Linked DNA regions of Tamandua tetradactyla. The protein of the gene in region 3 interacts with the protein of the main gene of each other region in a pairwise test. Links are inferred from orthologs where the notes say so. Each region holds a gene or a part of one and is shown on either strand. Other genes may lie near its edges.

Region 1 (7,546 bases), on a different chromosome or scaffold from region 3:
AGGGGCCGGGGCCTGCAGTTCTGGGGATTGAGCCCTGGAAGGGGGGGTGGTGTGTGGGTGGGTGGGGGTGGGCAGATCTGTGCTGAAAATAAAGTATATGCTGCCCCCTGCTGGTGGTATGGCTGAAAGGTTGGAGGGGTACAGGGCAAGTAGTAGGGTCGGTAAGCTCTAGGGGAGAACAAGGGTGAGGACCACAGGAGCCTGATCCTCTAGACAGAAACACAAGGCATGCATGCAGGAACTGTGAAGGCCACAGCTATATTGTTTGCTTTTCCATTTGCCTGAACCCAAATCCCTGCACTCCAGCCCTGGAGTCTACCCCTCTCCACACCTCCAGTCTCTGCACTGGGGCTGGGGCTTGATGTGGGACTGCTGGTCCCCACCTCCCCAGACAGAAGCAGGCCACTCAGCCTGTCCTCTTGAGCACGTGGATGAAATAGCAGGGAATGTAGGCCTGGCCTGGTTTGTAAGACTTGAAGTCTCCCAGGACGCTGTGCTGGCATTTGCCCCCAAAGGCTTCTCGGAGCAGCTCTGTGAAGGACTCCAGGCAGTGTGGATAGTAGGAGAGCCGGAACTTACTGCAAGAGAGACCCCAATCAACCATGGGGGTAGCTCCCCCTTGACCACCACCTCCTCCTTTCCCGTGGCCTAGCTGTGTGGTTACCTCATGCCAGGAGAACCATCCAGGCCAGCTCCTGGCACCTGCACTGTGTAGTCCAGGGTCACCATGTGGGCTTTGTTGTTTACAGTCAGCACTGACGTTGTGATGTCCCTGGTCAAATCACTCTGTAGGCCACGGTGCAACATCAGCCTCAGCAACCCATCGGGAACCCTGCCACACCTCCCACCTGGGGTTGCCTTCCCCCAGCAGGCCTCACCTTGTAGTAGATGTTCTTCCCTGGGGGTACACAGCCGGTGCTGAGGATGTGGTCGTAGTTGCGATGATCAATGACCAGCAGGCCCCCCAACCGTACCATGCTTGCAATGTTTTTCAGTGCCAGCCGATGCTCACTCTGGTCCCCTGAGCTCCAGACAGGGGCAGGGAGGGTCTGCTCAGGGGACCCCAGCACCAGTCTCCCATTTCTACCCTTCCCAGCAGTGCCAGTGTCAAGGCAAAGAAGGACAAAGCAGACTCTGCTTTAGTGAGGGAGCAGGCACCAGGAGAAGGGGTCTCTAGAAAGGGTAGAGCTTAGGGCAAGGCCATGCCCAGGGCCATACCCTCTCTCACCTATGCAGTCTGGCAAGTGGGCAAAACTGTTTCCAAGGCAGATGACCGCATCAAAGCCACCCCCTGGTGGCTGGGGCACATCTTTGTCCAGAGTCATCCAGTTGGCTTCTTCAATGACTGGGAGCCAAGAAACGGCAGCATCATTTCCATGGTATCAGTAGCACCCACCTCTACCAAGTGCAGTCCTGCCTCAGTTTTCCTATCTAGACAGGTACACAGGGACTCCCCATCCAGCTGAGGGAAGGGACATGGAAGGTGAGGAGGGAAGAGGGTCCAGAGGAGGAGGAGAAGGAAACCATGATGGGAAAGGAGGGCTTATGGGTTTTTATTTGTGGGGTACAGGGCACTATAAACATTTAAAATTAGCTCCTCATGTCCCAATGCTTGTTATGGCACCTAAGCCTCCCTTTTAAGGGAAATGGCAGTACTTTACTCTGATCTTCTTAATGTCCCCCTGGAGAAATAGAGAGTCCACTATGGGATAAAGTCACCCAGAGCAGAGAGAACTGTCCCTGGTGACCGAGCTGAGAAGGCTTGGATGGACCTGCATACCCCACTTGTCGAAGCTGGGCTCGTGCCGCCGGTTCCAACGCTCTTTTAGCGCATACTTCAGCATCTTGTCACTGGCATCCACACTGGTCACGCTGAAGCCCTCCTCCACCAGCATGATGGAGTCCACCCTGGACAGGGCCAGTGATGACAGGTAGGCAGGGGCAGTTGGGGGGTGGGGGCGCTGAGAGGGCAAGGAGGAGGCCCTGTGCTGGACACTGTCTCACCTTCAGAGCCGTCTCCTCTTCTTCCCACACCACCCCCCACCCCAGGCCCTCTCCACTGACCAAGGATGACTTCATAAATCTGTTTCTTATCACCAGGTAGCAACTTTTTCTTTAAGCACTTATTCACAGCTAAGCATTAATTCTCGTAGCAATCCTATTAGTAGATGGAGGTATCCAACTCTAACATTAGCAACTGAGGCTGGGATTAGTTCAGGAACTTGTGCACAGGAGGCAGTATAAGGGAAATGGTTTCCTGCACAGGCCAGACTAACCAACTTCAGTCTGTATCTTCTCTCCACTAGACCTTTATTTCTCTGCAGCCTAATTTCCATTTTCCCACAACTTATTTTATGGGTTTTTGTGAGGATCTTTAACAAATGTTATCAAAAGCTCCTGGCAAAGCACTTGGCACAGACAGATGTTACCTTATCATTGCCCAAGGCCAGCAAACTAGGAACAACCCGTGAGCCCAATCCGAGCTCACCATAGGTTTAGCTCCAAAGCCCAGGGTCTTCTGTTGCCCTGAGGCACCTTCTGCCTTCCCCAAAGCGCTGTGCTCACACCCTCATTCCCACTTTGGTCTCCTCACCACTCTCCCCCCATCGACCTCGCCTGTACACTCGCCGAGCCGTTCTGCCCCGGCACACACCGATTGCGATCGGACTGGCAGGGGAGGCTGCCCCGACGTGCCCGGCTGCGGCCCTGCGCTCCCGCAGCTGCCCCCAGCCACCCCCGGCTCCCCGCTCCGGCTCCCGCCCGGGCTCACCCGGTACCACAGGCCACGTCGAGCACCCGCTGGCAGCCGTGTTGGCGCAGCAGCCCGAGCAGCCAGGCCTTGTACTCGGCCGTGCGGCTGCGGGTGTCCCCGATGTAGAGCTGCCACACGCGCGCCGCCTCGCCGTCTGCATACTGGTCCGGGAGCCCCTCGGCCGCCACTCCCAGGGAGCGGGTCCGGTACACGCTGTCCACCATCCTGCGCCGCGCTGAGCTCCGCGGCCCCCGCTCCACGCTTATAGCGCGGCCGCTGCCCCCGGCCGGGCGCCCCACCTGGCCAATGGCAGGTGAGCGCGGGGACACGCCCCTGCTTGGTTCCCCGCCGGGTGCCCGCGGCCGCGGGGAGGGCGCTGCTTCGCAATCCTGGACCGGGCCCTTCTCGCCGGACTGAGAACCTAGCTCTCTGGGCAGTTCCACCGCGGGAAAGCACCCTCCTACCCTTCCCACCTTCGGCCCACCTGGCCTGGCTCGCCAGGAGGATCCGGGAGTGGCCGGGAGAGGGGAGCAGTGAGATTGCCCACCCACCCACCACACAAGTTGGAATGAAAGGGAAAAAAATTTCCAACCCCAAAATTCACAGACGAGCGCCCAGGCGGGCAGGACTGGACAGACCGCAGGGAAGGCAGGTTTTAGCATATCTAAGTAAGGAATCGACGTCCTGCTGAAGGGAAGCCTATTCAATCAGGGAGGGAGAAAATGAAGAGTGTCAGGATAATGCTGGTCTGTCCATCCAAGTTCAAGGGCAGAGAGCAGTGATACGCACCCAAGCCGCGGCACATGCGCCTCTGTTGTATAGGGGACGCATCAGGCTTTTCCGTGAGCCACCCAATATGGAGTCTTCCATGCCCACCCCTTCTAAAAACCATCTGCGACCAAGTAGGTGCCCATAGAGAGCGCAGCTGGGAGCAGGGGTGGGAGTGCTTGGCGCCTTTGCTATTAAATTGCTCGTTGCTACTTCATAAATTGGTGCTTGGGTTTGGTTAGTCTACCCTTTCCACCCAGAGCAGAACGTTTCTGAGACATCTCTGTCCTCTGAACCCAGGTGGATTCACCAACACGAAGTGACTCAGCAATGCCTTAGTCAGGGACAACAGCCTTCCCTACCTGTCTTTTTGTTCCTCAAGCATCTGAAAGAGTGAGTTATGGGATTTAGGACAAAGGAGGCTCGTCTAACCCCCTTATCCTCTACAGAATCTTAAAGCTGGAAGAATCCCCAAAATCATATAATAATCACGCTTATTTTTTTACTTTTATTTTTAGCACAGACAGTGCTTCAAAGGAGCCTGTGGTATCCAAGTAAAGGAGCCTTGGGCTCCCACTGATGCTTCAAGACCTCTCTCTGGCAACAGCTTAAAGATGTACTGTACTGGGGAGATGTAAGCAAACCCAGACTCATTCTTTTATCAGAATATTTTAAAGGAAGTCCTAGCTTTTTAAAAATTCTTATGTTAAAAAAATTATCCTGTCAGCTGGTAATAATCCTGGCACTTGGCATCAAAGCATAATATATATTCCTCTCTCTCTTTGGAGTTAGCTTCTTTCTTTCCTTCTTTTCCTTCTTTTTCTCATCCTTCCTTCTTTCTTTCCCTCTCTCTCCTCCCTTTCTTTCCTTCTCTTTCTCTTTCTTTCTTTCTTTTCTCTCCCTCTCCCTCTCTCTCTCTCTCTCATGTCTGAGGTCTCTCCAAGAAAATAAGTTATTTCCTTGGGTAGAAAAATGGGTCTTTACTTAAAATAAACTTGATATTTATTTTTCCCTAAATCAGGAGAAAAGTAATTATTTGGCTATACATTGATGAGCTGAGACTTATATCTGTTAACTAACAATTTGGTCACATTACAGGAATTGATATTTTAAGGAGTACTCGCCCTACTGAATTATTTGATTTTGACATACTGGAATTCTGAAAATACATTTAAGAAATTAGGAAGAAAATGATGTCAAATTGGAATAAACAAACAAAACAAGTTCGTTGTCACTATCTATAGATGATAGATGTATTGACTGAACATAAAATAATTGAGAATTAACTGGGCTAGGGCAATTTATTTTATTTTTTTCCTTACTATTGCTTTCTTTCCCGTTTGCTTTTGTCTAGGAAAGGAATGCTGAAATAGATAGGAGGTTGGCTCACCCTTGTAACCCTCCTTTTTTTTTTAAATATTTTTTATTGTGAAATAACATATACACAAAAAAAGCAATAAATTTCAAAGTTATAATTACATTGCAACAAGTAGTTATAGAACAGATTTCAGAGTTTGATATGGGTTACAGTTCCACAATTTCAAGTTTTTCCTTCTAGCTGCTCCATGACACTGGAAACTAAAAGAAATAGCAATATAATGATTCAGCAGTCATACTCATTTGTTAAATCATAACTTCTCTGTTATAACTTCTCCTTCTCCTTTGATCCTTCAACTAATCTTGAGGGGTATTTGGGCTATGGTCATTCTAATTTTTTCATGTTGGAAAGGGATATTGATGATATGGGATAGGGGAATGAAACTGGTTGATGTTCTTGGAGAGGCTGGCCCCTCTGGATGTCAGGACTTATTTGGCCGAGGAACCATATGGAGGTTGTAGGTTTCTGGACAGTAATCTTAGTGTGTGAAACTTTCATAGAAGCTCAGATTAGAGTCCTAGGTATTTTTTAGGGTTAACAGGAATGGTCTTGGTTGGGGTTTGGCAAACCATCGTAATTAGTAATATCTAACTCAAACTCGCGTAAGAGTAGCCTCCAGAATAGACTTCATTCTATTTGAAATCTCTTAGCCAAAGATACCTTATTTTGTTACATTTCTTTTTTCCCTTTTGGTCAGGAAGGCATTGTTGATCCCATGATCCCTGGGAATCATGTCCCACATTGCCAGTGAGATTTTCAATCCTGGATGTCATGTTCACATAGAGAGGAAGGTAATGATTTTCCTTCAGAGTTGGGCTTAGAGAGAAGCCACATCTGTGCAACAAAGAGGCTTCATGGAAGCAACTCTTAGGCCTTGTTATGGGTATCCCCCTACAGAATTAAGCTTTGTAAGGGCAAGTCTCAAAATCCAGTGCTTGACTGCCCCATTTGAAGAATTTCTGATATTCTAGCAAGCAGTGGGACAACCAAATCAATAGACTGAGCCCTCGATCTTGGGGTTTGCCCCTATGGAACTTACTCCTGCAAAGGATAGGCTAAGCCTACTTAAAGTTAGGCCTAAGAGAAACCCCCAGAGAATCTCTTTGGTGGCTCAGATGTGACCTCTGTCTCTAAGCTGACACAGCAAGTGAACTCACTGCCCTCCCGCTCTACATGGGACATGATTCCCAGGGGTGTAAATCTCCTTGGCACCATGGGATAGAAATCCTGGGAGGAGATAGGACTGGTATCAAGGGATTGAGAAAGACTCCTTGACCAAAAGGGGGAAGAGAGAAATGAAACAAAATAAAGTGTCAGTGGCTGAGAGATTTCAAACAGAGTTGAGAAGTTATCCTGGAGGTTATTCTTAAGCATTATATAGATATACCTTTTTAGTTTATGGTGTATTGGAGTGGCTAGAGGGAAGTACCTGAAATTATAGAGCTGTGTTCCAGTAGCCTTGTCTCTTGAAAATGATTTTATACTGATATAGCTTTTACAATGTGACTGTGTGATTGTGAAAACCTTGTGTCTGATGCTCCTTTTATCCAGGGTATGGACAGATGAGCAAAAAATATGGAATAAAAAAATAAACAAATAATAGGGGGAACAAAGGTTAAAATAAATTTGGTAGATGGAAATACTAGTGGTCAATAAGAGGGAGGGATAAGGGGTGTGGTATGTATAAGTTTGTTCTTTTTTATTTCTCTTCTGGAGTGATGCAAATGTTCTAAACAATAATCATGGTGTTGAATACACAACTATGTGATAATATTGTGAGCCACTGATTGTACACCATGAATGAAATGATGTATGTTAAAATTGTTTGTGTGTTGTTTTATCAATAAAAATATTTTTTAAAAAAATTCAGTGCTTGCCTAATTTTTGGGGGAGTCTCCAATGGTTGAGAGGGTACCTGGGGTTTCCCAGATGGGAAAGTTTAATAGTTCCATATATATATAAACTATCAAAAGCATATTTTATTTTCTTAACCATAAATTCCTTGCCCTTAAACATATTTTTAGTGGCTAAATAATAGTCCATTGGGTAGATGTGCTGTGACTTGTTTAATCATTCCTCAAGTTTTAAACATTTAAAAATCTCACAATTTTTCAAAAGAGTGAATATGTGGATATAATCAAGCCATTTTCCAAATGGAATTTTTCTATTAATTAGTACTGTCACCCCAAAACAAGTTTATTTCAATTATTTACATGAGGTTGTCACTGATATTTCATTAGGTAGAAAATTATACCTAGTTGTTATACTCTTCTTTAATTACTACCAGAATGTATCAAATAATTGCAGTCCTTCATCTCTAAATTGTTTGTTCTGCCCACTGAAAGATATTAAACCACCTTTTATTTTTGTCTTTCTTGTAGATAAACTGTAAATTTAGCCCAAGGACCTGGGACATGGAAAGGAAGGTCACAGAATATATAAACCAACTTATAATTTGACTTAGTTGAAAATGAGAATAGGTGATATTTTAAATATGCAACATTTATTATTTGGAATTGGCTGAAAAGACAACATTTTTTTTTTTTTTAAAGGAAAGACAGAGAGAAGGAAGGAAGGATAGAAGGAAGGAAGGAAGGAAGAAAGGGAAACATCTTTAAACATTTTCTTGTTTTATTGTATTTTGTTTT
Region 2 (7,387 bases), on a different chromosome or scaffold from region 3:
CTAACTTTCAGGAGATACGGAAAAGCACTTTAAATTACACTGCAGAGATGAAATCAGGAAAAATCCCAAATGTGGAAACACTATAGAACGACAAAGCTCTCTGACAAACTGCAAGAAATAAACTACAAAGAAAACAACAACAAAAAAGAATAGAGAAGGAACCTACAGATTAAAAGAAGTTGAAAGACATCAAACAATCAAAATGTGGATGACCTTAGCTGAATCAAATGAACACACTGTGAAATAAATGATAAAAACACGGGACAACTGGAAATTCGAATACTGGTTATCTGATTATTTAAGGAATTATGGCTCTTTCAAGTTAGAAAGATTCCTCACCTCTTAGAGACAACAAACCAAATTGATGAGGGGGAGGGCATAAGGCCACAGGTATAAGGTATGAAATTAAGGAAGGTGAGAGAGGAAAGACGACTGGGCGTGAGCTGATAACCGCACAAGCTGGGTACTCTTCTAGCTATTGTCATATAAGTTTAAAAATCTCCATAAGACACAGTTAAAATAAAAGCCTGACAGACAAACTATCACAGTTTACAGAAGGCCAAGTACCAACTTAGTTATTCTTCAGGAAAATTACATGTAACTGGAACCTTAGAAAAGGTAGTTTCTTCTTTTTTAAAAAACAGTAAAAAAAAAAAGTAGTTTCTCTTTTACTCTATGCATCATGAAAACGGGAACGTATCTACTCTATTAACTGCTCTGTCTGGAACTTTTCTTCATCCAGAAAATCATGACAATTTTACTTTAATGAGACAAACATGAAATTCAAGTGTACTCGGCATAACATTTTGGGGACCCCATAAATTATTTAAAGTCATGGCACTCTGAAAACTCAATTCTCAGGAATGCCAAAGCTTTCCAGAGAATACTGTGCCAAACGGGATTCTTTTTAACCTCTCAGGATCCTTTTGCAGGGAGAACAAAAGGTTTAAAGGAGGAAAGGGTCATTTACAACAAATTCAATTAAAAGCCAGAAGACAATACTCAGAGCTAAGGGACTGTGGGAAGGCCACTGGGTCTGCCCGGAGACCTGGATTCAGATTTCACCAGCAGCTGCCTGGTGGGAAGCCACCGTGTCAAGGCAGCAGGGACAACCCTCTCCCCGGGGAGTGTGGACGTCCTGGCTGCTCCCCCCAGAGCTGCAGGGACAGCAGGAAATACCCCGGCCCAGCTCCCCGGGCCTCAGGCGGCTTTCCAGCTTCTCCCCAGCAGCAGGTCCCCAGACTGAAATTCCTGCCGACAAGCTGCATGGGGTTTATGTTTAGCTTGGCTAACATAAACATAAGCATTAAAAAAAAGAGTATAATTACTTATTGTCGGTATATAAAAACAAGGAGACTGAACTTAAAAATCTAGAGCGCCTCTGCTGCCTGGCAGAAGTCACCGCTCCCACCCGCCTCCTCTCCCATCCAGACCCGACTCCATCACCACCTGTCACTCCTGCCTGTCTCTACAGCACGGCCCCTCCACTGCGGCAGTTACCCGCTGTTCCGGAACTGTCTGCCTGGCTCCTTCTGGGGTTCTCAGGCTCTCTGGGGGAAGGGACCCTGCCACCATCTCCTTTGTGTCCCCTGCACCGGCACAAAGCCTGACCTAGATAACACGGAACTCACAAGTGCCTCCTGCATGTAGCAAAATAAGCTCAAGCTAAGACACAAATATGTAGCTTTTCCATCCATAGCTTGCTCCAATAGTTGCCAAATAAAGAGGTCAAGGCCATGAAAATGTTTCACAAAATGAGAACAGGCTTCCATCTGCTTCCAGGTTCCACTAGCTAGCCCGAAATTACTAAAGGACAGGTGAACCAGAGGCACCGCCAGGTCTCTCTTTAGATCATTCATTCATTCACTCAACTGATATCACTGCTACTCACTGGATGCTTTCTCAGCACTGAGAAGACAGCAGTGAACAAATCACAGAACTACCTGTTTTCACAGCGCCTACATCCTAGTAGGCAAACAGAAAATAGGCAGCAAATAAATGGAATGGTTTCAAACCAGAGTAAACTAAGAAGAGAATTAAAGCAAGGAGACAGAATGACTAAGGGAAGACAGAGGGTGGTCAAAGAAGGCTATTCATGCTGGCCAGAGGCAGGAATGCTGAGGGGCCAGCTCTGCAAAGACCCCAAGCCAACTCCAACCCTGGGAAACAGCAAGTGTAAAGGCCCCGGGAAAGGCACGTGAGGGGCTGTGGGTGGGGGGAGTGGCAGGACAGCTGGGCAGGGAACACTCAGGAGTGGCCTGGCTTTGAGTGTGCAATGACAACGCACTGGAGGAGTGGGGGCGATGGGGGGGTCTCCTGCCACACACTGCAGCAGGAGGCTGTATCCCTCCCACTGGTGCACAAGCATGCGGGGCTACCGCTCCAGGCGCCCGCACACAGCCGCACACCTGACCACAGCCCTGCCCAGGCCAGTGGGTGTTCCCTTACTTTCTCCAGAAGAACATCCAGGAGCTGCGAGGGCCCCGCCTCGGCCAAGGTCGCGGTGACGAGACCCGGGCTCCCGCACGTCCCGGCGCGGCTGCGCGGCTGCGGGCCCCACGGTCCCGAAGGCGGGCACCTGCGGACCTCACCCCAGCCTCATCCCCGGCGCGTCCCGGCCCTGGAGCGGGCCCCAGCCCCGGGTGCTGACCGCCGCGGGGGAAGGGCGTCCGCCGCAGCCGCGAGGCCAGGGCGGCGCCGGCCCGCGCAGCACCGCAGCCCCCGCCCGCAGCTCCCCGCAGCTCCCCCGGCAGCCCCACGACCCCCAAGTCCCCGGCCCTCCAACACCCTCGCAGCCCCCGGCCCGCAGCGCCCCCCGCAGCCCTCCGCCTGAGACCCCGGCCCGTGCCCCTGGCCGCAACCCTCCGCCCTCCGCCCGCAGCCCCCGGGCCGCAGCCCCCGCCAGGCCTACCCGCCCGCCCCGCAGGCTCACCTCGCTCCCGCCGCCGCGCCGGACGGACAGGGCTGGCGGGCGGCTCGGAGGCCCCACGCTGCTGCTCGCCCCCCGCAGCCCGCCCGGGCCCGGCCGCCGCAGTGGGTGTGAGGGCGCCCGGCGCGTAGCCCCTTCCGGTCCCGCTCCTCCTCCCCCCGCGCCGCCGCCGCCGCGGCGCCGGGCCCGACTGACCCGCCAGCCGCCCAATCAGCGCGCGGAGAGCCTGGCCCAATAGACTCGGCCCGGCCAATCGCGCCGCGGGGCGGGCCGCGGGGGCGGACCAGGCCAGCGGGAGGGGCCTGGGGCGCGGCCCGCAGCCTGAGGTCCGGGTGCCGGCGCCCGAGGTCTGTGCGGCGCCTGCCGAGACCCGCGCGCCCGGAGCCTGAGGTCTTGGTGCGGACGCCTGCGGGTTCTGCAGAGCCCGGATGGGGCCGAGAGGGTGGACCGACAGGCTGACCGGACCGAGAGCCGGGCGGGTGGCGGCGGGGACAGGGCAGGAGCTGCCCAGGATCGCGAGCGAGGAGCGGAGAGAGGCGCGGGGACGTGGGTCGCTGCGCGGCCTCCGGGAGCGGGTTTGCCGCGGGCGTGGCTACAAGCCATGGCGGGGCGGTGGAAAGCAAGAGGAGGCGAGGAGGTGGGACGCAGACGTCGACGCTCCCCCGGGGCCGGGGAGGGACGCGAGAGAGGCGGGGCCGGGGCTCTGGATGCTGGGGGTAAGGAGGTCCGAAGGGGCAGCCTCTGTGTCAGAGGAGCAAAGGGGCAGATTTATACCGAGGGAGGGGGCGCGGGGGGGGGGGGGCCGCGGGAGGCCGGGTTCTGTCTGCTCGGAGCTCTCTGGAGGCGTCTCCCACAGCCCCGCCGTCCCGCTGGGGACTGGCAGGCCTGAGTTTTCTTCCCGCGGTGGGTGCATCTCGGGCGGCGGGAGCACCTCGGGCGGTGGGGTCTGCCATCGCGCCTGGCTGAGCGACCTGTCCGGGAGGAGCTTGGGCAAATTTAGAGAAAGCTCAGCGGTCAGGGCATACCGGGAGGAGGCGGGCTGACTTTGGGGGCAGGCAAGTAGGAAATGGTGGTCGGTAAATGGGAAAGCAGCAGTCATAGGACGCCGGTGCGTGGACTGGAGAGCTGGGAGCAGGGCCCTCTGGGGAAGTCAGGGGCTGGGGACCCCGGGCGGGGTGAGGCTGATGGCACCGGGGTCTCAGGCCTCGGGGAAGGGGTGGGATGGAGGAGCTAAGGGAGCCTCGGGCCCCTGACCTTGGCCGGCAAAGGGGTGACCGGCTCATTCCTGCTAGAGCGAGGCTGACAGGAGAGACAGGTCCAGGCGGCCTGTCCTCACCTCACACTGACCTGCCTGCCACTTGGCCTCAGGCATATTTGCATGATCAAAAACAAGTATTTTGGCAAACCAGAAAAACCTTTTTGCCCGGGAACACTCAGGGGCCTGCTTTTACAGCACCCACCTTTCAGGGCACCCTTCACTCCATGCCAGGGAAGAGCCAGAAATCACTGTACGTTGCGCACACACACACACACACACACACACACACACACACACATTCCACACTAAGTTTTCTATAAGGAATCCAGTCCAAAGATACTGCCTTTTTCTGCCTTATGACATGCAGTGACATTTGCAGATGCACAGTTGGGGTGACAGGTTGGGGTGGGGTCTCTGCCTTGGAGGGGTGCACAGAATCCTTCCCCCACCCCGTGCCCACTCTGGCTGCACATGTCCTGGAGGAGACCTGCTGCTGGTGGCCCCTCAAGCTGGCAGTACCACTGTGCAGGCAAAGGGCAGCCAGCTGACTAGACGTGTTACACAAGGAAGGGGTCATGTGATTGGGTGTTTGTTTTGGGAAAGTCACTGGGGCATGAGAGGTTTTTTTGGGGGAAGGGGGCATTGAGGAACTTAGGGTTGTCAGACCAGTTGGGGTTGTGAGAAAGCATGAGACCCTCCCTGGGGCCACAGCAGCAGGTGCCAAGAGGGAGAAATTGATTTTAGAACTATTCAAGTCTTTAGGTAAATGAGAATTAAAACTATAGTGAGGTGCCGCTCAGCACGACTTAGCATGGCTAAAATTTTTAAAAATCGGACGATACCGACTGGTATTGTGGCCACGGAGCGACTGGAGTGCTCACTCCCAGTTGGCGGGAATGCAAAATGGCACCGCCTCTTTGGAAAGCGGTTTGATGGTTTCCTTTAAAGTTAAGCATATGTGCGCCCTACAACCCAGCAATCCCATTCCTAGGTATTTATCCAAGAGAAATAAAAATGTGCCCATACAAAGATCTGTGCGTGATTGTTTAGAGCAGCTTTATTCCTGACAGTTCAAAAGCTGGAAACCACCCGTGTGCCCCTCATCCGGAGAGCAGATAAGCCGCATGTCCAAACAATGGAGCGCGCCACAGCAACCAAAAGGAACTACATGCTGACAAGGTCACGGCGTGGATGAATCTCAAAAACATGCTAAGTGAAGGAAACCAGCCACAAAAGCTGATATCCTCCATGATTCTGTTTATATGACATTCTGGGAAAAAAGGAAAGTCAGATCAGTGCTGGCCAGAGTGGGAGGAAGGGACTGACAGTAATGGACAAGAGAGAACTTTCTGGGGTAATGGATATAGTCTATATTTTGATTTTGGTCGTGGTTATATGAGTATATATTTGCCAAAACCAAAGAATTATTTTATGAAAAAGGGCCTTTTTGTTTTTAATTGGTTGACTTTCATTTTTTAGAGCAGTTTTAGGTTTACAGAAAATTGAGCAGATAGTATGGGGAGCCCCCGTATACCCTCCAGTCTCTGGATTACTAACATCTTTATTAGTGTTGGTATTTGTTACCATTGACTAAGCAGTACTGATCCGGTGTTAACTCAGGGCTCAGGCTTCACTCCCGGCCTCCGCCGCGCGGCCGCCCCCGCTTCCGCCACGCGCCAGCCACGCAACCACCCCCCCCCCCCCCCCCCCCCCCCCCCCCCCCCCCCGCCTCTGGCAGGCACCTGTGGTCGCAGTCGCACAGACGATCCCGCGGTCCTGACGGTGCCCCATGCATCCCCGCTTCATCGCTTGCCCCTTTCCAGCCCCCGTGCGCCCCTTCCCCTGCGGCTTTGCGGCCCCTGGGTGGGCTCCCTGCCGGGAAGGCCGTGGGCCCTTCCTGGCTTCTGGGGTGCTCACCCTCCCTTTCCCCGCCTCAACCCGCAGCTCCCGCCCCTCCGTGATGCCACAGCTGCCGGACACCGAGCACCGCTGCCGCTCGCTTGCCTGGCAAAGGAGAGGAGGGCGCAGGAGGGCGGGGAAGGGAAGGGAAAGGAGAGCAGAGGGAGCTCTGGCCTCGACCCCTGGGCTGGAGGGTGGGCAGTGGGGGCGCCCGGGTCCGCATGCACAGTCCGGGGCTGGGCTTCCCATTGCCCCATCTCGCCCCCTCGGGGACCGCCTGGGCTCCATCCCATGGCCCACGGCCCACCCCCCACCCCCGAGGCGGCCTGGGCTCTGAGCTGTTGGCCCTGCTTTCCTGCTTGCACCTCTGGACTGGGGCTTCCCTTCTCCGAGCCTCAGTCCTGTGGGCAGCGGGCTGGACAGTCGGGGCCCCTGAGGACGCAGCAGGAAGGTGGGCAGGTGCACTGGGTGGCCTGGGTCCTCGGTGGCTGCTTCCCAGGCGGACCAGGTGCGCCCTACAGACCTCCCACAGCCCGCCGCCTGCTCCCTGCTGGGGCCCTGGGCTGTGTTTGCCATCCCAGCCCCATCCCTTCTTTAGCAGCTGTATCTCCGCAGGACTTTGGAGAACCCCCTTGTGTTGCGGGCTCTGTCCCCTGCACTCCAGCCCCAGGCGTCGCCCCTCAGTGTACCCGGTGTCCTCAGTGATTGCTTCAGGGATGGGCAGCTGTGCCGGTTTGAAGCTATTATGTTCCCCAGAAAACCCACGTCCTTTAATCCTCATTCAGTGTTGCTGGGTGGGAGCTTTTTAATTGCTCCTATGGAGATGTCACTCGCCCAATTGTGGGTGGGACATTTTGATTAATGGTTTCCATGGAGATGCGTCTCTACCTATTCAAGGTGGGGTTGCTTCCTGGAGCCCTTTGAGAGGGAACCGTTTGGAGAAAGCTTCAGAGCCCGCACAGCCAGAGACCATTGGAGATGCGGAAAGAAAACACCTCCGGGGAGCAGTTGAAGAAATCTGGAGAAAACTAGCAGACCTCCCATGTGTCTTCCCAGCTGAGGGAGAAAACCCGAGCTTCATCAGCCTTCTTGAGCCAAGGTATCTCTACCTGGATACCTTGGTTTGGACATTTTCATAGCCTTGCTTTAATTTGGACATTTTGAAGGCCCTAGAACTGTAAACTTGCAAGTTAATAAATTCCCTTTTTAAAAAGCTGTTCTGTTGCTGGTATATCGCATCCTGGCAGGTAGCAAACTAGAACAGCAGGTAACCCTGTTCCACCAATAGGGAATGTGCCCAT
Region 3 (7,692 bases):
ATTATGTGTCCCTATCACACTTACCCTCTACTCTCCCAGAAAAAAAGATAAAAGAGTATGTAAACTTAGGAAAGAAATTCCACTCTATCCTATTACCTCTCAGGAAGTCCCTCCTGTTGTCTAAATCAGATCCTTTGTGCTGCCGACTGAGTTAGTAGAAACAGCAAGGCCCAGAAGCAATGCACAACTTGAGCTGGGGACTTCTGGGGGAGGCCAGCTGTGAGCCAGACAAGCCTCCCTCCTGGCTGAATGTGTGGAGCAGCAGAGAGGACTTCGAAGGCAGAAAGGCCTGGGCTCAAACCCTCAATGGCTGAATGCCAGTGGACAAGTTATTTAATCTCTCCTAGTCAGTTTCCTCCTCTGCAAAATGGGAATAACAATCCCTACTTTAGGAGTATCTTTGGGAAAGTCAAATGAGATTATGCATATAAATCTCCGGACAAATACCAGGGACCCAACAAAGGTCCAGTCAACCAGCAAGGCTGATGGGTTCCACCCCTTTATTAATATCTCTCAGTTCCACCTGGGCCTCAGTTCAGATCTCATCTTCTCTCAGGCCTGTCCCAGGCTTCTCACTGGTCTTCCTGCTTCCAGGCCGGTCCCTCCCACTTACCCTCTCTGCTACTGCCAAACGCATGTCTCTGAAACAAATATCTACTCCCATCCCTCCCCTGCCCCACACTCTTCTCTGACTCACCACTGACTTCAGGAGAAAATCCCTCTCCCTTGTTTGACGTTCCAGGCTGCTGATGACTGGCCTGTGTTTACCTCTTACAGCTCATCTATCATAGCTAACCCAACCACCAGACCACGGGTGTTGCTTCATGCCTCCAAACCTTTGCACATTCTGCACCCATGGCCAGGAATGACTTCCGCCTCCCGGGCCCCTCATCCTTCCAGTTGAAGCTCAGTAGCTCCAATACCGCCTCCTTCCCAGGAAAGTTTCCCGTATCATGCCCTCTGCCTAGGGCAGGATTGGGGACTCCTTCTTAGGCATCCCCCAACACATGTAACCCTGCATTATAATCACCTGCTCTGCCCTCAATCCTCTGGGGGCACAGTAGAGTCCTTCATGTCTGAGCCCCAGCCCCTGGTACCCAGAAGGCACTCAGTCAGCATTTGTCGACTGAATGTGGGCTTGATCCCAGTGTGTACCTGCCTGTACGGTACCATCGAGGCACTGTCTCATCCCCTCTTTCCCATTTAGTCCGAGAGGCCAGTGGCAGTTTCTAATTAATTTTTGTCTTCACTTTCAAATGGGGGAGTGTGATTCAAGGAGGAGGGATGGATGCAATGACTTCTGATGCTTAAAGTATTAGATATTTGCAATTTCCTCTTCTAAGTCATAAGTCAAGTAGAATCCCGTGGTTTACAGAACCAGGCAGTCTATTATCTATTTTGCTCTTCTCTTCCAAATTCCTCAGGAAACCCATCTGGAAAGGTGGAGAGGGGCCTCCAGGGGCTGCAGGGGTGCCTGTGGGGGACGGCAGGGGTTTAGCCAGTCCTGAGCTCCACGCTGCAAGCAGTAGTCTTACCCTGCCCAGTGAATCCCGTAAACTGAGGAGAGCCCTGAGATGGAAGAAAAATGGGAGAACCAAGGTCCAGAAGGGTGAAGGCAATCACCCAAGGTCCCCCCAGTGAGTTAAAGGAATATCAGGGGAGAGTCACGGAAAAAGTCCTGGCCTCAGAGACAGGATTTCCAACAGACGCCTTTGGGGCCTGGCTGCCCTTGGTGGCCCCATCCTGCTGACAATCCATGACAAGCCAGTGACACTTCTCCCCAAGACGCAAAGAGGCAGACCAAGGCCCAAGAGGGCTGAGTCACCCTGATGGTGAGGCAGGAGCAGCAGAGGAGAGGAGCCGTGGCTCCTGACTCCCACTCCGCCCTCGGGAAGGAAAGCCAGACCTCACCATTCAGAGGGTCTTTGCTCCTGGGAAGATGCACGTGGCGCAGAAGGGAGTCTGAGGGCAGAGACCTGGGCCATAGGGCTGGCCAGGCTGGCTGAAACAGGGAGCGTCCATCGCGTCGAAAGCAGGCTTCTCGTGATCTTCTGCAGTTGCCTACAAAGCCGGAACCCCCATGCACACAGCAGAGAACCCCACCCTGGCCCCCAAATCCAGGACCCCTGAGGGACTTGGCAGTGCCCAAAGTGAGCCACAGAAAAATGGACCAAGGGGGTTCCAGCTTTTGCCCTATCTCTGACCCTTCTTAACCATAAGCAAGTCAGGTGGCCTCTCAGTGCTCTAGTTCCTCTACCAGAAAACAGGAAGAGGAAAATTAACCTTCCAGAGCCGTCAAGAGGATGGCTGGGGAACAGTTTGTAAATGTTAAGAGGATATGTTATCTCTGAGCCTCGGTGTCTTCTTCCAGAAATTGGAAATGATTTCTGGAGCACCTTTTTCAGCTGTTGAGAGAATCTCAGATGGCAGTGGGTGAGAAATCACTTTGATGGTGGTCCCAAAATACCATGACAGGGCCATTTCTCTCCAGTCTATTAGCACATTCAGGGAAAAAATGTGCCTGTGCATCTTCAATCTCCAAACTATGCCTTGTACATAGTAGGCTCTCGATAAATGATCATTGGAAACAAGGAGAGAGGGGGTAGGGTGGAGCAAGGGAAAGGAGAAGGGAGATCAGAGACAAGGAACACAAGGATAGGACAAGATAAAGAAAGAAACAAATGAAAGAGCGGCTTGCAGAAGCAGTAAGAGGAGGAGACAAGGGAGGGGCTTCTGTCAGAACTTAAGGGGGTGAGAAGAATTAAGGACAGAACCAGGGAGACAGAGGTGAGTACCGGACCGGGGCTTGTCTGGGTCCCACGGAGCAGTCTCTGCGGGTCGCCTTGCCCCTGCATCCTCTCCCCTTTTGCCCCAGTTTCCCATTTCAGAAGCATGGCCACTCCCTTTCCAGTCAAAGTCTTTCAGGGCAGGCTGCTCAGAAGACAGGAGCCCCTTTCCCCACCTCCAGCTCAAAACAAATCCTGGCCAGCCACGCCAGGCCTCGGGAACCAAAGGGAAAGGAAATAGAGCCCATGGATCCTGCTTTCCCCAGGCTCCCCCACCCCGTGTGTGTGTGTGTGTGTGTGTGTGTGTGTGTGTGTGTGTGTGTGTGTGTGTGTGTGTGTGTGTTTCCGTGTCTCACCGTGCGGGGACTGGAGGGAGCGGGTCAGCAGTCCCGAGATCTGTTAGCTTGTTCCCACGGGGCGCCAGTCTGTGTGGGTGTTATTCTGATGTGTGTCTGCATGGGTCAGTGTTGTTGTGGTCTGGTGTTGGTGAGATATGTGCCAGCACAAGTGAGCGTGTCAGCGAAGGTAACACTGTGTGTGTGCCTGCAGGAGTGTTTATGACAATTAATGCAAGAGACTATGTATACCGGTGTGCGCCCACATGCATGTGCCAGCATGGGGGTATGTTGGCGTGTGTACCCGTGGATGCCAACAGTATGAATATGTTGACAATGAGTGTATACTGGTGTGTGCACCAAGGGTGTCACTGTATGGGACGAATGTCTGGTCGTGAATGTCAGTGTGTGTGCCGGCATGAGATCGCCCGAGAATGAGTGTGCCCTGTGTACCCACGAGTGTGTGTGCCATTGTGTGTCAACCTGCCCCCGTGAGTCCCTGCGTCTGCCCGCCAGTGCTGGGTGTCTGCGAAGGAGTGAGTGTGTGTGAGTGTGTTCCGGCGTGGGGCCGACCTGTCCTCGCCCTTTGGGTACCCTGGCCCACGGCCTCTCCCGGGGACCACACGAAAGACCTCGGGCGGAGGAGAGCTGGGAGCCAGACCACGGCAGTCCTCGGGTGGCCGCGAACGCAGCGCCAGGACGCGGACTCGAGGCCCCGCCAGAGCTCTCGCCCAGGTCGGCCAAACGCGTGCCGGGCCGGGCCGTCGCCCGCACTCACCGTGTCCCTTTGTCGCCCATGGTCCGCGGCGGCCGCAGGGAGGTCCGCGGCGTCAGCGTCCAGCCTGGAAAATCCCCGGCCGGCAGGAGGAGCGCCCGCCAGCCCGCTCCCGGCTCCCTGCTCCGCCTCCTCGGCTCGACCCGCAGCCGCCGCCGCCGCCCCCGCCCCCGCCCCCGGTCCCCGCCCGCCGCCCCGCTGCGCCGCGCAGCGCCAGGGCAGCGGCCAGGGGCGTGGAACCGTGCGTGCGTGTATGTGTGTGTGTGTGTGTGTGTGTGTGTGTGTGCGCGCGCGCGCGCGCGAATGTGACTGTCTGTCTGTGCCTGTGTCTGCCTCTGTGTGTGTGCGCGAAGGCTCGAGCGCAGGGCGGTGGTACGGGTCAAGGCTCCGAGGTCGGCATTTGGGGATATACATGGGCATATGTCCAGCTGTATGCCTCTCTGTGTGCGTGTGTACGTGTGTATGTGAGGGAGCACGCTGGATTGGGTAAACGTGCGCCTGTGTGCACGCGAGGGTGTGTGCCGGTGCGGGTGCGTGGGTACGGCTGTGTGCACGGGCCTATTATAGAGTGTATTTGCGTGGTTAGAGGGGTGTGCACGTTTTTGTGCAGTTGTGCGTGTGTGCGCACGCCGTGGGTGCGAGCGCACTCTCTTGCGCACACCGGGGGCAGCCTTTGCGAGTGTCGGTGGGTGGAAGCCTCAGGTCTGCCGAGCCCCGGGCCAAACCCCTGGCGGCGTCCGGATGGTAGTGGCTGGGGTTAGGGGTCGGTGAGACTCCGGGCGCCTGGCAGGGCCCTCGCCCTAGGCACCAGCCCCTCCCTCGCTTCTGGAGAGATAATAACGAACAGCCCTACAGGGACAGGAAAAAGAGGAGGAAGGGGCAGGAGAAGGCAGTGTCGACGCTGGAGAACTGATAAGGGTGGGGAGACAGGAGGCGAGCCGGGGCTTCGAGTGGCAGCCCAGGAAGAGGAAGCTGTGAGAAGGGGAGAAATGGAGTACAGGAAGGGGACATAGAGCTGGCCTGCTGCGTGCTTGGCAGTCTAGCCTCGAAAGCACCCGGGCCCAGCTCCACCACCTGCCGGGGGTGACCCTGGACATCAGCCCTGTCATAGCCAATTTCCAAACCTGTAAAGTGGGAATATTAATACCAGCCTGGAGAATTGTTCCTAGGAGTTGTTCCTAGATTGAAAGCACTCACTTGTGTTTGCTGAACTCCCCGAGTGCCTGGCATGCAGTAGGTGCCCAGTAAATGTTAGGCCACTCTCTCCAGGCTCCTTGGTGTCCTGTGAAATGCTGGCTGACATCCTTCTTTGCCTAAGGTCCCTGACTGCTTTGCAGTGTGAGGTCTTCCCTTCAGGTCACTGCTGGGATTTGGTCTAATTGACCCTGATGGATCCCTAATATCGGAGTATTACTGAGAGAAAAGGAAGCTGTAATTTACTCTGATGTGATTGCAGGTCTGTAAACATCTCCTGTAATTATGTTCATATATACATATATATATATATAGTTGAGTAATGATATCCCAGTATCGTTCAACATAATTACTGTAATTATGTCCATATTGGGGGAGGGGGAGGAATGGGCAGGCAGGGTGGTCCAAGGTCAGGGTCAAAGCAATGTTAGGAGCCAAGAGAGCGTGGATTAGGGCCCAGAACCCCCCTCCCTCCTTGGCCTCTGGGCTCCAACCTCACCCCCACAGCGGGAGGAGAGGAAGTCACCTGCTGGGTGTGGGAGACAGGGAGCGGGAGACAGGGAGCATGAGAGGAGCAGACCAGAGGCCTCCTTGATGACAGGAGGTTCACTCTGTGAGCCAGAGAGGACCCGAGCCAGAATGGAGAGGCCAGGGCCTGCCAGCCTCTGCACCCCAGTTTCTCCACCTATAAACACTCATTCACTCAACCCAGAGGATCCTCTGTAGTTCTGCCCATGCTAGTGCCCAAATCACAAGTGCAAATAAGTTCAGTGAGTCCAGGGAGCTGCATCTGATGGTTCCAGGTACTCACTGCCCTGCACAGCTTTTCCCAGGTTGGAAAGCATGGCGTGAGCATTCTAGGGACGCCAAACGGATCGCTAGACTGTGGAGGCAGGCATTCAAGATGTCACGTATGTCCCACTAGCCTGTAAAATTCCCAAGAGAGGATGTGGTGTGTCTGGCACTAGTTAGCACCCACAATTAGGTGAGATAAATGCTCTTTACCCTATTTTATAAATGAGCAAACTGATGCTCAGAGAAGCTAAGGAATTTGCCTGAGTCCACAGCCTCCTCTGGACCTTGGCCTCTGACCTCCCTTCCTCTGGCCCTTCCCGAAGGGGAGTTAATTCATAGGAAAGCCAGAATTTGACCTTTGATTATAGCCTTTATTCAATAGCTTTTGTTTAAGTTTTCTTAAATTTTATTTTTATTTTTTAAAGGAGTTGTAGGTTTACAGAAAAATCCTTATTCTACCCTCACTCATGCATCTTTCCCTATTATTAACATTTTGCACTAGCATAGTACATTTGTTACAATTGATGAACCAATATTATTATATTAAATTATCGACTGAAGTCCATAGTTTACATTAGGATTCACTCATTGTACTGTACAGTTCTATGGGGGGGGTTAGTATTTATTTATTGTAGTAACATACCTCTGCTGGTTTGAAATTGTTACGTATCCCAGAAAAAGCCAAGTTCATTTAATCCATTTTGGTAGGGGCAGACCTATTGTGGGTGGGATCTCTTGGTGAGGTGGTTTCCATTTAGATGTAACCCGGCTCATTCAAGGTGGGTCTTAACCCTTCACTGGAGTCCTTTATGAGAGGAAAAAAGACAGGAAAAGCCCAGAGAGCTCAAAGAGAGAAATACCAAGAGGGCTTGGAGAGAAAAGCTCTGGGAGAAACAAGAAAGGACACACAGAAACTGAAAGAGCCAGAACCTGCAAGCAGTGAAACCCGGGAGAGAAGGATCAGCAGCCGCTGGCCCTGTGCTTTCCCGTGTGACAGAGGAACCAGGATGTCAGCAGCCTTTCTTCAGAGAAGCTATTGTCTTGTTGATGTCTTAATTGGGACCTTTTCATGGCCTTAGAACTGTAAATATGTAAACTAATAAATCCCATTGTAAAAGCCAACCCATTTCTAGTATATTGCATTCCAGCAGTTTTAGCCAAGGGAGACAATACTATTTCCCATTTTAACCACTTGCAGGAATACAGTTCAGTGGCATTAATTACACTCACTGTGCTACAATCACCACCACCCATTACAAAACTTTAAACAGTACCCATTAAACATTAACTCCCCATTCCCCATCCCACCCCTGGTACTCTGTAATTTTCTTTCTAGCTCTATGAATTTGGATATTCTAGTTATTCCATATAAGTGAAATCATTCAATCTTTATCCTTTGGTAGCCGGGTTATTTCACTCAACATGCTGTATGTCATCAATGTTGTAGCATGTATCAGAAATTCTTTCCTTTTTACTGCTAAATAATATTCCATTCTATGTATAAGCCACCTTTTGTTTATCCATTCATCCATTGATGGACATTTATATGTTAGTTTCTTGACTGCTAAAACAAATACCATGCAATGGACTGGCTTAAACAAATGGGAATTTATTGGTGCACAGTTTCGAGGCTAGAAGTCCAAAGTCGAGGTATGAGCAAGGCTAATGCTTTCTCCCTGAAGACTGGGGCATTCTGGGGCTGGCTGCCGGCAATCCTTGGTCCTTGGCTTTTTCTGTCTTCTCCTGTCTCTTCTGGATTCTGCTGACTTACAGCTTCTTGCTTCTTCCCATGACTCTCTCTTTCTGT

The links.
Region 1: the proteins of ARRB1 (region 3) and GNMT interact in binary tests that used the Homo sapiens proteins (3 or more experiments, as listed by UniProt). The link is inferred for Tamandua tetradactyla from reciprocal best matches to the Homo sapiens genes ARRB1 and GNMT.
Region 2: the proteins of ARRB1 (region 3) and MAPK9 interact in binary tests that used the Homo sapiens proteins (3 or more experiments, as listed by UniProt). The link is inferred for Tamandua tetradactyla from reciprocal best matches to the Homo sapiens genes ARRB1 and MAPK9.

Annotation. Positions count from the first base shown.
Region 1 is NC_135331.1:100,554,840-100,562,385, reverse strand, and holds GNMT (glycine N-methyltransferase), read right to left. Parts: upstream 3,065-7,546; 5' UTR 2,977-3,064; coding exon 2,771-2,976; intron 1,909-2,770; coding exon 1,781-1,908; intron 1,346-1,780; coding exon 1,229-1,345; intron 1,022-1,228; coding exon 879-1,021; intron 787-878; coding exon 665-786; intron 579-664; coding exon 407-578; 3' UTR 243-406; downstream 1-242. UniProt on the Homo sapiens protein: Catalyzes the methylation of glycine by using S-adenosylmethionine (AdoMet) to form N-methylglycine (sarcosine) with the concomitant production of S-adenosylhomocysteine (AdoHcy), a reaction regulated by the binding of 5-methyltetrahydrofolate.
Region 2 is NC_135346.1:1,029,963-1,037,349, reverse strand, and holds the start of MAPK9 (mitogen-activated protein kinase 9), read right to left. Parts: upstream 3,070-7,387; 5' UTR 2,933-3,069; intron 1,986-2,932; exon of another isoform or gene 1,501-1,985; intron 1-1,500. UniProt on the Homo sapiens protein: Serine/threonine-protein kinase involved in various processes such as cell proliferation, differentiation, migration, transformation and programmed cell death.
Region 3 is NC_135334.1:70,220,281-70,227,972, reverse strand, and holds the start of ARRB1 (beta-arrestin-1), read right to left. Parts: upstream 3,059-7,692; 5' UTR 1,986-3,058; coding exon 1,912-1,985; intron 1-1,911. UniProt on the Homo sapiens protein: Functions in regulating agonist-mediated G-protein coupled receptor (GPCR) signaling by mediating both receptor desensitization and resensitization processes.